2 linked regions of the Oryctolagus cuniculus genome follow. The protein of the gene in region 1 purifies or fractionates together with the protein of each later gene. This does not show direct contact. Links are inferred from orthologs where the notes say so. Each region holds a gene or a part of one and is shown in the gene's direction. Other genes may lie near its edges.

Region 1 (4,993 bases):
GGGTCGCTCCCCAAATGCCTACAACAGCCAGGGCTGGGCCGGGCGGAAGCCAGGAGCCGGGAGCTCCGTCCGGGGCGCCCAGGTGGGTGCAGGGGCCGTCCGTGTGGCCCCCTCAGGGGTCAGCAGGGAGCCTGCATACAGCCCAGGCCCTCGGGAAGGCCACGCGGGAGCTGGCCTGGGGCAGAGGTTACGGCTTTGCATCTTTGAGTCTCGTTTTGCAATTATGTATACGCATCTGGACCTGTTTAGACCCTGTTTAGACAGTGTATCTCCGGCGGCCAGCCCACCCGCACCCGCCGCCGCGGGTTCAGGTCCCGGCCTGCTCCCGGCTCAGGCACCGGAGGTCCGCCCAAGTGCACGGTCTCTGCCACCCCCGCGGGAGGCCCGGGTGGAGCAGCCCCCTGGGGAGTGACCCAGCGATGGAAGACCTCCCTCTCCCCCTCCCCCTCCCCTCTCTCTACCTCTCAAGTAACTAAAAATCTTAAAACAAACCAACCAACCAACCAACGCTCCGCCCATCCCCGCGGCTGCTGCCCGAGCCGACTCGGAACTGCAGGGCAGCGCAGCTGGCACTCGGCGTCCACTCCCGCAAGAGGCCACAGCAAGAGCCCCGGGAGGCGCTCGCACACCGGCCACCCCAGCGGTCAGCACACCCAGCCTGCAATGCAAGGCCACAGTGACTCCTGGTGTGCAGGGGCTGTGCGGAGGCCGGGCAGAGGCCACTAGGGGTGAGGGTCGGGGTGGGGGGCAGAGCCCACAGGAACCACTGGGGGGGCACACAGACCCCGCAGGGCCCACTCCCGGGGGAACACAGACCCCGCAGGGCCCACTCCCGGGGGTCGGACCCTGCGATGCCCACTCCCGGGGGACACACAAACCCCGCAGAGCCCACTCCCGGGGGAACACAGACCCCGCAGGGCCCACTCCCGGGGGTCGGACCCTGCGATGCCCACTCCCGGGGGACACACAAACCCCGCAGAGCCCACTCCCGGGGGGGACACAGACCCCGCAGGGCCCACTCCCGGGGGGGGACAGACCCCGCAGGGCCCACTCCCGGGGCTCGGACCCTGCGATGCCCACTCCCGGGGGTCGGACCCTGCGATGCCCACTCCCGGGCGGACTGCGGGCCCGGCGGCGGGTGGGGGTCGCGGGGCTGGGGAGGGGGCGTCTCCCGGGGCAGAGCAGAGGTTCCGGAGGCCCGGGGCTGCCGGTGCTGAGACCGGAAGTCCCTCCGGGCAGCGGCCCCGCAGCTCCCCCCGACGGCCGCGCGCAGTGGCTCCCACGATCCGCCCCCACGTGACCTCTCTCCGCCGGACGGGGTGGCCGAGAGCTGGGCTGAATGAGGGGCTCCCCGGGCTCACTCAGCTCCGGCCCGGGACACGCAGCGGGCCGCCCAGGCCCCGGGCCCACCTGTCCACTCTCCTCTGCCCTCGTCACCGCCTCCCGGCGCGTCGCGCCTTCTGCGCATGCGCACTCCCGCGCCCCGGCGCGGAAGCGAGCCACTGCGCACGCGCCGGCCGCCGCCGCCCGGACTCCGCCCCTTTGCCCCGGGGGCGGGGCGCTCGGGCCGGGGCGCGCGCCGCGGCGGGGGCGGGGCCAGGCTCACTCTCGCGAGAGGCCGGCGCGCGATCCCGCGGCTGCGCCCGCCCCTCCGCCGGCCTCCCCGGGCTCCGGCTGCAGCGTCAGCCTGGCTCGGGCCTCGGCGGCGCCTGCCCGCTCGCCCGCCTCGGTGTCGGCCTCCCCCGCCGCCCCCGGTGCCGGGCCGGGTCGCGTCGGCGCCGCCCGCTCCGGCCCGCCCCCCTATGGGCCCCGGCTGAGGCGCCGCCGCCGGCCGCGGAGCCCCGATGCTGGCCCGGAGGAAGCCGGTGCTGCCGGCGCTCACCATCAACCCCGCTGTCGCCGAGGGCCCGTCCCCTACCAGCGAGGGCGCCTCCGAGTGAGTGGGCGGGGGGCGCCGGGCGCAGGGCGGGGGTCCCGGACGGCGGGGGGGGCGCAGGGGCCCCCGAGGGCGGGGGGCGCCGGGGCGCAGGGCGGGGGTCCCGGACGGCGAGGGGCGGGCCCTGCGGGGCAGCGCGCAGTGGTCGGGGCGTAGGGGCCCCCGAGGGCGGGGGGCGCAGGGCGGGGGTCCCGGACGGCGAGGGGCGGGCACTGCGGGGCAGCGCGCAGTGGTGGGGGCGTAGGGACCCCCGAGGGCAGGGGGCGCCGGGGCGCAGGGCGGGGGTCCCGGACGGTGAGGTCCGGGCGAGGGGCGGGCACTGCGGGGCAGCGCGCAGTGGTGGGGGCGTAGGGACCCCCGAAGGCGGGGGTCGCCGGGCGCAGGGCGGGGGTCCCGGACGGTGAGGTCCGGGCGAGGGGCGGGCACTGCGGGGCAGCGCGCAGTGCGAGTCCTTGAGCGCCCCGAGGGCGGGGGTCGCAGCGGGGGCGCTGAGCGGGCGGTGAGGCCGAGGGCAGCCCCCCTGGGAAGCCACGGCGTTGGGGGTCCCTGCGAGGCGGGATGCTTTGGGGAGATGGGTGGGGCCCCTGGGTGACAGGTGGAAAGGTCTTGGGGGACCCCGCGGGGTCGGGATGGGGAAATGGGAGGGGTAGCCCGGACTTGAGGACGGGCTGGGGGGGGGGTCTCCGAGGCCAGGGGCGGGGGAATTTGGGGGTGGGGGTCTGGGGGCCGAGGAGCAGGGGGCAGGCTTGGGGTCTTGGGGAGAGGCCCTGGTGGGTGCCCCGAGGCCGACCTGGCAGGTCCAACCAGAGTGACCCCCTTGCCACAGCCGGGCACAGGGCGGGGGGCCGCGTCGCGTGTCCCCGGAGAACGAGTGGGACGGGCGTGGGCCCCTGCCCTGTGGCCGCCCCCACGCCGGCCGTGGCTGCCCGGGCCCCAGTGCTGGCAGAGCCGCGCGCGGGGCTCGGCGGGGCAGGTGGGGGGCAGCGGCTCCCGCGTGGTCTCCTGCGCCCTGGTCCCCGTCCCTTCCGCCTGGGGTCGTCTTCCGGACGTGGCCGCCGTGGTGGCCGCCTGCCTGCCACGGAACGTGGCCTTGTCGGTGCCCCACGCGGCCTCCTGGCCCCACTGGGACACCTGCTTCCTGGGGCCTGGGGCGGGGGCCTGACGGGAGGGAGGCGTGCGGGTCTCCCGGCCGCGAGCAGGGGTCCCGCGTGGGTGGGGGAGGCGGTGCCTGAGGACCCCCTTTATGCCCGGGGCACCTGCCAAGCCCCGCGCTGGGCGGCCGCAGCCACCGGCGGCACGGGCGCTTGGCGGCTCTTCCAAGTTCGGGAGCGCTCTGGCGTCGCGGGCACGCGGGGCGCAGACACGGGGGTGGGGGAGGCCGCGTCGCTCGCCCCTTGGAAATGATCGGATTTTCGCTGGCTCTGATCAACCGCGCTGTGGCCGAGCCGGGAACTGGTGCTTGGACGCCCGTGCCGAGTCCAGCCCCGGCTTCCCGGGCCCCTGCTCGTCCTGCGCACGCGCACCTGGGGGCAGCAGTGCGGGGTGGTGGGGTGGGGTCCCAGGTCCTGGCCCTGCCGCCCGCGTGGGAGACCCCGTGGAGCTCCGGGCTTTGGCCGGGCTGCTGTGGGCAGCTGTCTCTCTGTCTCTCTGTCTTTCTCTGCCTTTCAAATGAACAAATAAAATTTTTAAAATTACCTTTGCCTGTTTTCCTTTTTTCAAGAGTGGGCCCCAGGAGACGGCGTGGGGGCTTGCGGCCGTTCTCCCCGGGAGCCCCCGGGCCGGCCCTGGGGTGCCCTCGGCTGCAGCGTCCTGCTTCCTGCCCCAGGGCCAGGTTCAAAGGCAAATTCCCTGAGGACCGCGTCCCGGACTCCCTGACAACCCCCTGAGTGACCCCTAACCCACAGTGGCCACGGCTGGCTGCGAGGTTGCCGGGTCTGGGAGGCCAGGCGCGCGGGTTAAGGGTCCGCCTGGCGCAGGACCGGGCCCTCGGGGCGTCCACGCCCGCGTCGGAGGCCTGGATCTGCCCAGGCTCCACGGGCCCTGCTCCTGGGCCCGGTCCCCATTTCCCCCATCCACCCACGCCGTCTGGAGTCCCCCAGGGCTCTCCTAGTGCCCCCCCCACCTGCGCCCAGGGAGAGGCGTTGGGTTCTGGGGTGCGCAAGGGCACGCATGCGCCTTTCCTCGCTAGGTCACTAGGCCAGGGGACCGTCTGCGTCATCCCTCCCCGCTCCCTGGCCGGCCGCGTGCCCGTCCTGGCTGGGGTGGAGTCGGTGTGTGACGCGCGCACTTGTGTTTGAGAGGTAGACAGCAAGCAACACAGACACATACCCCACCCGCTGGCTCACTGCACCAGCCAGGAGCCAGGGACTCCATCCGGGGCTCCCGCGTGGGCGGCAGGGACCGGGGCCACCCGCTGCTTCCCGGGGTGCGCGCGCAGGGACCGGAGCCACCCACTGCCTCCCGGGTTCGCGCACGCAGGGACCGGGGCCACCCACTGCCTCCTGCGGTGCGCGCGCAGGGACAGGGCCACCCGCTGCCTCCCGGGGTGCGCGCACGCAGGGACAGAGCCACCCGCTGCCTCCCAGGTGCGCGCGCAGGGACCGGGGCCACCTGCTGCCTCCCGGGGTGCGCGCGCAGGGACCGGGGCCACCCGCTGCCTCCCGGGGTGCGCGCACGCAGGGACCGGAGCCACCCGCTGCCTCCCGGGGTGCGCGCACGCAGGGACCGGAGCCACCCGCTGCCTCCCGGGTGCGCGCGCAGGGACAGGGCCACCCGCTGCCTCCCGGGGTGCGCGCACGCAGGGACAGAGCCACCCGCTGCCTCCCGGGGCGCGCACGCAGGGACAGAGCCACCCGCTACCTCCCGGGGTGCGCGTGCAGGGACCGGAGCCACCCGCTGCCTCCCGGGGTGCGCGCACGCAGGGACAGGGCCACCCGCTGCCTCCCGGGGTGCGCGCGCAGGCACCGGAGCCAGGCCCTGCGCCCCGGCACTTGGCTGCGCGCCCGGCGTCCTGCGCGGCGGCCCCACTGACCTGGCCCCCGGCTGTCCGCAGAGCGA
Region 2 (5,132 bases), on another chromosome or scaffold:
TGGAGCCGAGGCTCGTCTCTCAACATTGCTCTCTGGCCCGCAGCATCAGCACCACCAGAACCTGCTGGAAACACATGCGCTCCGGCCCCATCCTCTGACCTGTGTGACAGGGAACTAGGGACGGCTTTGTCCTGCCAGGAAGGAACAAGCTCTCCGGGTAATTCTGAAGCAAGGTCAAGTCTGCGAGCCTGATGACAGTTTCTCTTTCAGGGCAGTTATTGCTCTGCTGCAAGGGGCAGGGCGGGGTTAAGGTGGCAGTCAGAGGTGGGGGAGAATTCATAGGTCCAGTGCGGGGGTTCTGTTACAAACCCAGTGAGGACCGCGTCAGTGAGTCTTCACGGGGAGGGGCAAGGAGACCCCTTGTGTTTCAAAAAATCCCAGAGCGGGGGTTAGTTTGTAAAAGCACATTTTACAGTTATCATAATTTCCTTTCTTCTTTAAAGAACATTTATTTCTTTGAAAGGCAGAGTGATGGGGGAGATATCGCCCAACTGCTTGTTCACTCCCCAAATGGCCACATTGGCAGGGTCTCAGCCAGGAGCTCCATCCTGCCTTTAGACATGATATTTATTTTGAAATGCCAAATGACATTAACAGAAAGTGTAACGTATTTATTTATTTGAAAGGCAGAGAGAGAGAGAGACAGAGACAGAGAGATCTTCTTTCTCCTCCTTCATTCCTCAAATGCCTGCAGCAGCAGGCACAGGGCCAGGCTGAAAGCCAGAAGTCTGGAGCTCCAGCCCGGTCTCCCATGTTGGGGGCAGGGACCCAAGCTCTTGAGCCATGGCTGCTGCCTCCCAGGAAGCTGGAACTGGAAACACAGGCAGGATTCGAACCCAGGCACTCCAATATGGGACTCGTCTCAAGTGAGGTCAACCGCTGTGCTGAGCGCCTGCCCCTATAGAAGGTGTAATACAAACTGCCACCCAGTACCATTGTCTATTCTCAAGTGAGAATGTGCGTGGATCCCACCTCCTGTCCAGTCCTCACCCTGAAGAAAGCTCCATCTGTCTACACACACACACACACACACACACACACGCACACGCGCGCGCCTAAGCCTCAGCTGGGCTGAGAGATAAGAGCCACCGGCACAGGAGGACCGGACCCAAAGAGCGGCCACGCCGCCTGCCCAGTGTCACGGGCCCTCGCCGTGTGCCGCGCTCCGGCCTGGATTTTGCTCTGTGGGGATAAATGAGAGACTTGTGCCACCAAGGAGCGACAGAAAACTCCACATCCTTCCTGCTGGCGAGTCTCGCGGGTCCGGAGCTGTCGCACCTGGATGGGCGTCTGGTGTCTCGGGTTCACAGAAAGCACACGGGGTGACCCGAGGCGGTGGAGGTGGGCGCAAGCGCCACGCGCGCCGCCGCTCGACCCTCAGGACCGCTACCCCCGGCGCCAGCCATCAGCCCGCAGCCATGCGCGCCCGGACGCCCTCGCGTTCTGAGAAAGGGCCGCCGCCCAGAGTCGCATCCCGCGCCTGGCGAACCCCGACACTTATTTTGTGGGCCGCCTCCAGGAGAAAGTCCTTTCATTTTTCTCCACGCCTGAGAACTCCCAGTTCTCAGACAATTAAAAGTGCGGTGTGAGCCATTACAGAAGTACTTCAAGCCCCTTCCCACTAGATGGCGGCCCCTCAACCCACATAAACGTTCCGGAACCTCCCCTGTCCGGGAGTTCCAGGGCTCGGCTGCCGCTGAGGAACGGTGGGATGCACACCCTCCTCTCGTCCAGCGGGATACGGACCCCCTATCCGGCCTGATTCGGGAGCCGCCGGCAGCTCCTAGGCCGAGGCGGGCGGCGGGGGCGGGTGGGAAGAGGGGGCGCCCAGACCCTCAGCGCCGGGGCCAGCAGCGGCGCGGAGCAGCCCCTCCCGGGAGGATAGCCGGGGTGGGCTCTCCCGCGGCACCCCCGCTCGCCGGGAGCCCAGAGCCCGCCGCCCGGCGCGGACAGCTGGCCCCGAGGGCGCGGGCCGCGCGGCAGGTGCGCGGCGCGGACTACAAGTCCCAGCATGCCCCGCCGCCCTGACCCGGCCCCCGCCGCCGCTTAAAGGCTCCGGGAGCCGCAGCCGTCGGGTCGCCGCGGCTTTCGCTTTGCTGCGGCTGCTGGGCGGGCGGGAGGAGCGGACTCGGCGGCCGGCTCTCCCGGCGTCCGGGCTCTGGCCACGCCGAGGGGCGCGCCTCGTCCAGCCCTCCGGGCTCGGGGACTCCCTGCCGAGGCGCCCGCGCCCCCGACCCCCGCCCCGGGCTCCTCGCCTCGGCTCCCAGCGGCCCCGATGCCGAGGCATGGATAGAGCGGCGCTGAGCGCGGCGGCGATGGGCGAGGAGAAGGAGGGCGGCGGCGGGAGCGCCGCGGCGGCCGCGGATGGGGGCGCCGGGGCCGCGGCCAGCCGGGCGCTGCAGCAGTGCGGGCAGCTCCAGAAGCTCATCGACATCTCCATCGGCAGCCTGCGCGGGCTGCGCACCAAGTGTGCCGTGTCTAACGACCTCACCCAGCAGGAGATCCGGACCCTGGAGGTAAGGGGCCGCGGCGCCGGGGCGGGGGGGGGGGGGCGGTGGCCTCTACGCCTCCCTCCCGGCCCGAAGATTCTCCTGCTGGAGTTGCGTCCTTGAGCCGGGTCTCCCCGGTGGAGGCGGCCCCTCGAGGACCCAGGACCAGCCTCGCCAAGGGCGACGTTTTGGGGGCGGGGGTTGCTTAGTGTGAACCGAGATGGAGGCTCGAGGCGCCGTACGCGTGGACATCCCCGGCCTCGCCTCCACCCCATTTCTAGTTTGCGGGGCCGCAGGGCTCACGCCGGTGCAGCCACGCGCCGGGCTTTGCCTCGTGTGCTAGGCGGATCCCCCTGAAGTGTGAGCGCCGGCCCGCCCTCCTCTCCCTTCCCCTCACGTCCCAGACTCCGTCCTGTCCCTTCCTTTCTCCCCTCCTCCAGGTCTCTGTCTGCTGCCTTTCAGAACGCGTTTGCTGAGGCTGCATTTGTGCTGTTCAGTCGTTGGGTGCTTTCCTTTGGCGTTGTCACCGCGGTTCCCTGCTCCAAACGCTCGGAATTCGCGGACTCCTCCCTCCCCGCAGACACTGGATTTGGGCTTAGAACGGATTATGCTGGGGAAGGCAGCCTTGGGTGGGAAGATGACACGGTTGGAGGGGTTCCGCTGGAGGAGATGGCCTGGGGTGTAGAGGAGAAAGATACTCGGCCCCCCCACTTGCAAATGATGGCTGGGAAGTGCCCCATTAAAAGGATTTGGAGGAACCAGCGAGAGGGGTGGTTGGGTTCTCACAAGGTGGAGCTCTCGGCAACCCCGTACACAATAGAGGGAAACCAATGCAGTCCCAATTTTGTCCAGAGACTGGGAGACCTGCGAAATTCTGGGGGCCAGTTAATAGCCGCCGTGTCTTGAAGGGGGGCTTCTCAGCACCCTGCATTGCTACATCTGTCCCTCTGCAGGTCTGGGAAGTTTCATTTTATTAGTGCCCCCCCTCCTGCTAATTACCTCTGCCAGCTGTCACAGGGCCAACCGTGATTGCAGGAATTGTTACAGAGCCGATCCTCCCTCTGTGCCACCACAAGCCCGAATCCTTGTTTGATCCAGAATGCTCGGGGATGACTCTCCCTCACTCCTATTTTTCTTAAAAGCAACCAAGCTGGGGACATTGGAAGACGGCAGTCAGTGCTGGCTGTTAATTTTTTTTTTTTTTTAATTACAGTTGCTATAGCAGCGCTGACCAGGGCACACCGACAGAACCCCTACCACCGGCCTTTCTGTATGCACACTGCCGTTTTCCACAACTGATTTCTCGAACACAGCTGAGTGTGTTTGCCCAGCAAACTCGAGTTTTTCAGCCCACACAATAGGGGGCCTGTGTGGCTTAGTTCCGGGAGGAGGGGTCGCTGTGTTGTTGGGCTCAGAGAAGATTCTCTGGTGTGGCCTCTGCCGATCCTGCCCAGTGTTTGTGCAGTGCTCCTGGCTCCCAGAGTGCGTAGGCAGGAGAACCGCTCGCTGTCCTTGCTCTGGAAGTGGCCTGCGGTCCTCCAGGTCGCCTGAGCTCCAGAGCCGCTGGTTTTGAGGAAGGTGTGAAGTCTGTGCTATTGGGATGGTGTCGCTGGCAGCTGGGGCCCCGTCGCAGGAAGACCCACAGGTGACTGGCAGGGTGGGTGCACTCAGCCCCGGCTCTCTGTGCAAGCCCCTGGGCTGTGCCTTTGGTGCCCTGGCTCCCCGAAAAGGCAGGACCTGGGTCGCTTCTTAGCATGGGAATTTAGACCCCCGAGTCGGCCCCAGCTAGCTGGGGAGAGCCCTGGGGGCCTCCGCCTCCTCATCTGCAGACTGCAGCTTGGAGTGAGTCTGGGGGCTCTCCCAGCTCTGAGGTCTGTGGTTCAGTGAAGGAGATGCGGGTCGGACGTTTGTGATTGCAATTATTCGTGCTCCTGGTTTAGAACGGTTCTAAAATCCCGACTTCATGAACTGGTGAGAGCTTCGAGAGGGGAGCTGTGTGGTGAACAGAAAGCCCCCGGCTTTGAAATTGGGTCTGGTTCCGTGTGTATGGCTGTGGGCAAGTCCCGTGACCACTTATCTCTGGCCTCCCCTTCCGCCGGCGCGCACACCTGCAGCGTGTTCCGAGGCCGTGGGTCCACACGGTGACCTCTGGAAGGTCCTGCCTTGGAACTTGCCCTTGTGAGGGTCCACTGGCCTTCAGGGCACCTTTAGGGGAAGGAGCTGCTACCGCTGGCGCCGGCGCCCAGAGGTGGGTGACAAGGGCCAGAAAGCAACCCCAGCGTGCGGGGTTGGAGTGGCTCAGCCACAGCAGCCCGGCCAGCCAGCGGCTGTGTCTCCTGGGCTCTTTCCTGTTCTGTGGGCTTCTCTGGCTCGCTGGGCTGGACTCCCCAGACACTGCACTTGCAACATTAGATTCCCAGCCTGGAAAGAAGGGTCTGACTCGAGGGCTGGGCTTACACAACCGCATCAGGCTTCTGCCAGCAGCTTAGGAACCCCGGCCCATGCCGGCCCTGGTTGAGTGCGCCCTCAGTGTGAGAAGTGGCACGTGAGATGTCCCTGCCGGGGCAGGCTGTGTTGCCCACCAGCCCAGGCTATGACGGTGTCGGGGGTCAGCGTGCCTGCGTGCCCTGTGGTGGCTTTTCT

Evidence for each region. The genes of interacting proteins can lie anywhere in the genome.
Region 2: the proteins of MAP2K2 (region 1) and KSR1 purify together in Homo sapiens (affinity purification with mass spectrometry; 4 studies listed by BioGRID and IntAct, with this or other methods). This does not show direct contact. The link is inferred for Oryctolagus cuniculus from reciprocal best matches to the Homo sapiens genes MAP2K2 and KSR1.

Annotation. Positions count from the first base shown.
Region 1 is NC_091447.1:59,239,221-59,244,213, forward strand, and holds the start of MAP2K2 (dual specificity mitogen-activated protein kinase kinase 2), read left to right. Parts: upstream 1-1,665; 5' UTR 1,666-1,844; coding exon 1,845-1,936; intron 1,937-4,988; coding exon 4,989-4,993. UniProt on the Homo sapiens protein: Catalyzes the concomitant phosphorylation of a threonine and a tyrosine residue in a Thr-Glu-Tyr sequence located in MAP kinases. Activates the ERK1 and ERK2 MAP kinases.
Region 2 is NC_091448.1:43,194,211-43,199,342, forward strand, and holds the start of KSR1 (kinase suppressor of Ras 1), read left to right. Parts: upstream 1-1,971; 5' UTR 1,972-2,285; coding exon 2,286-2,516; intron 2,517-5,132.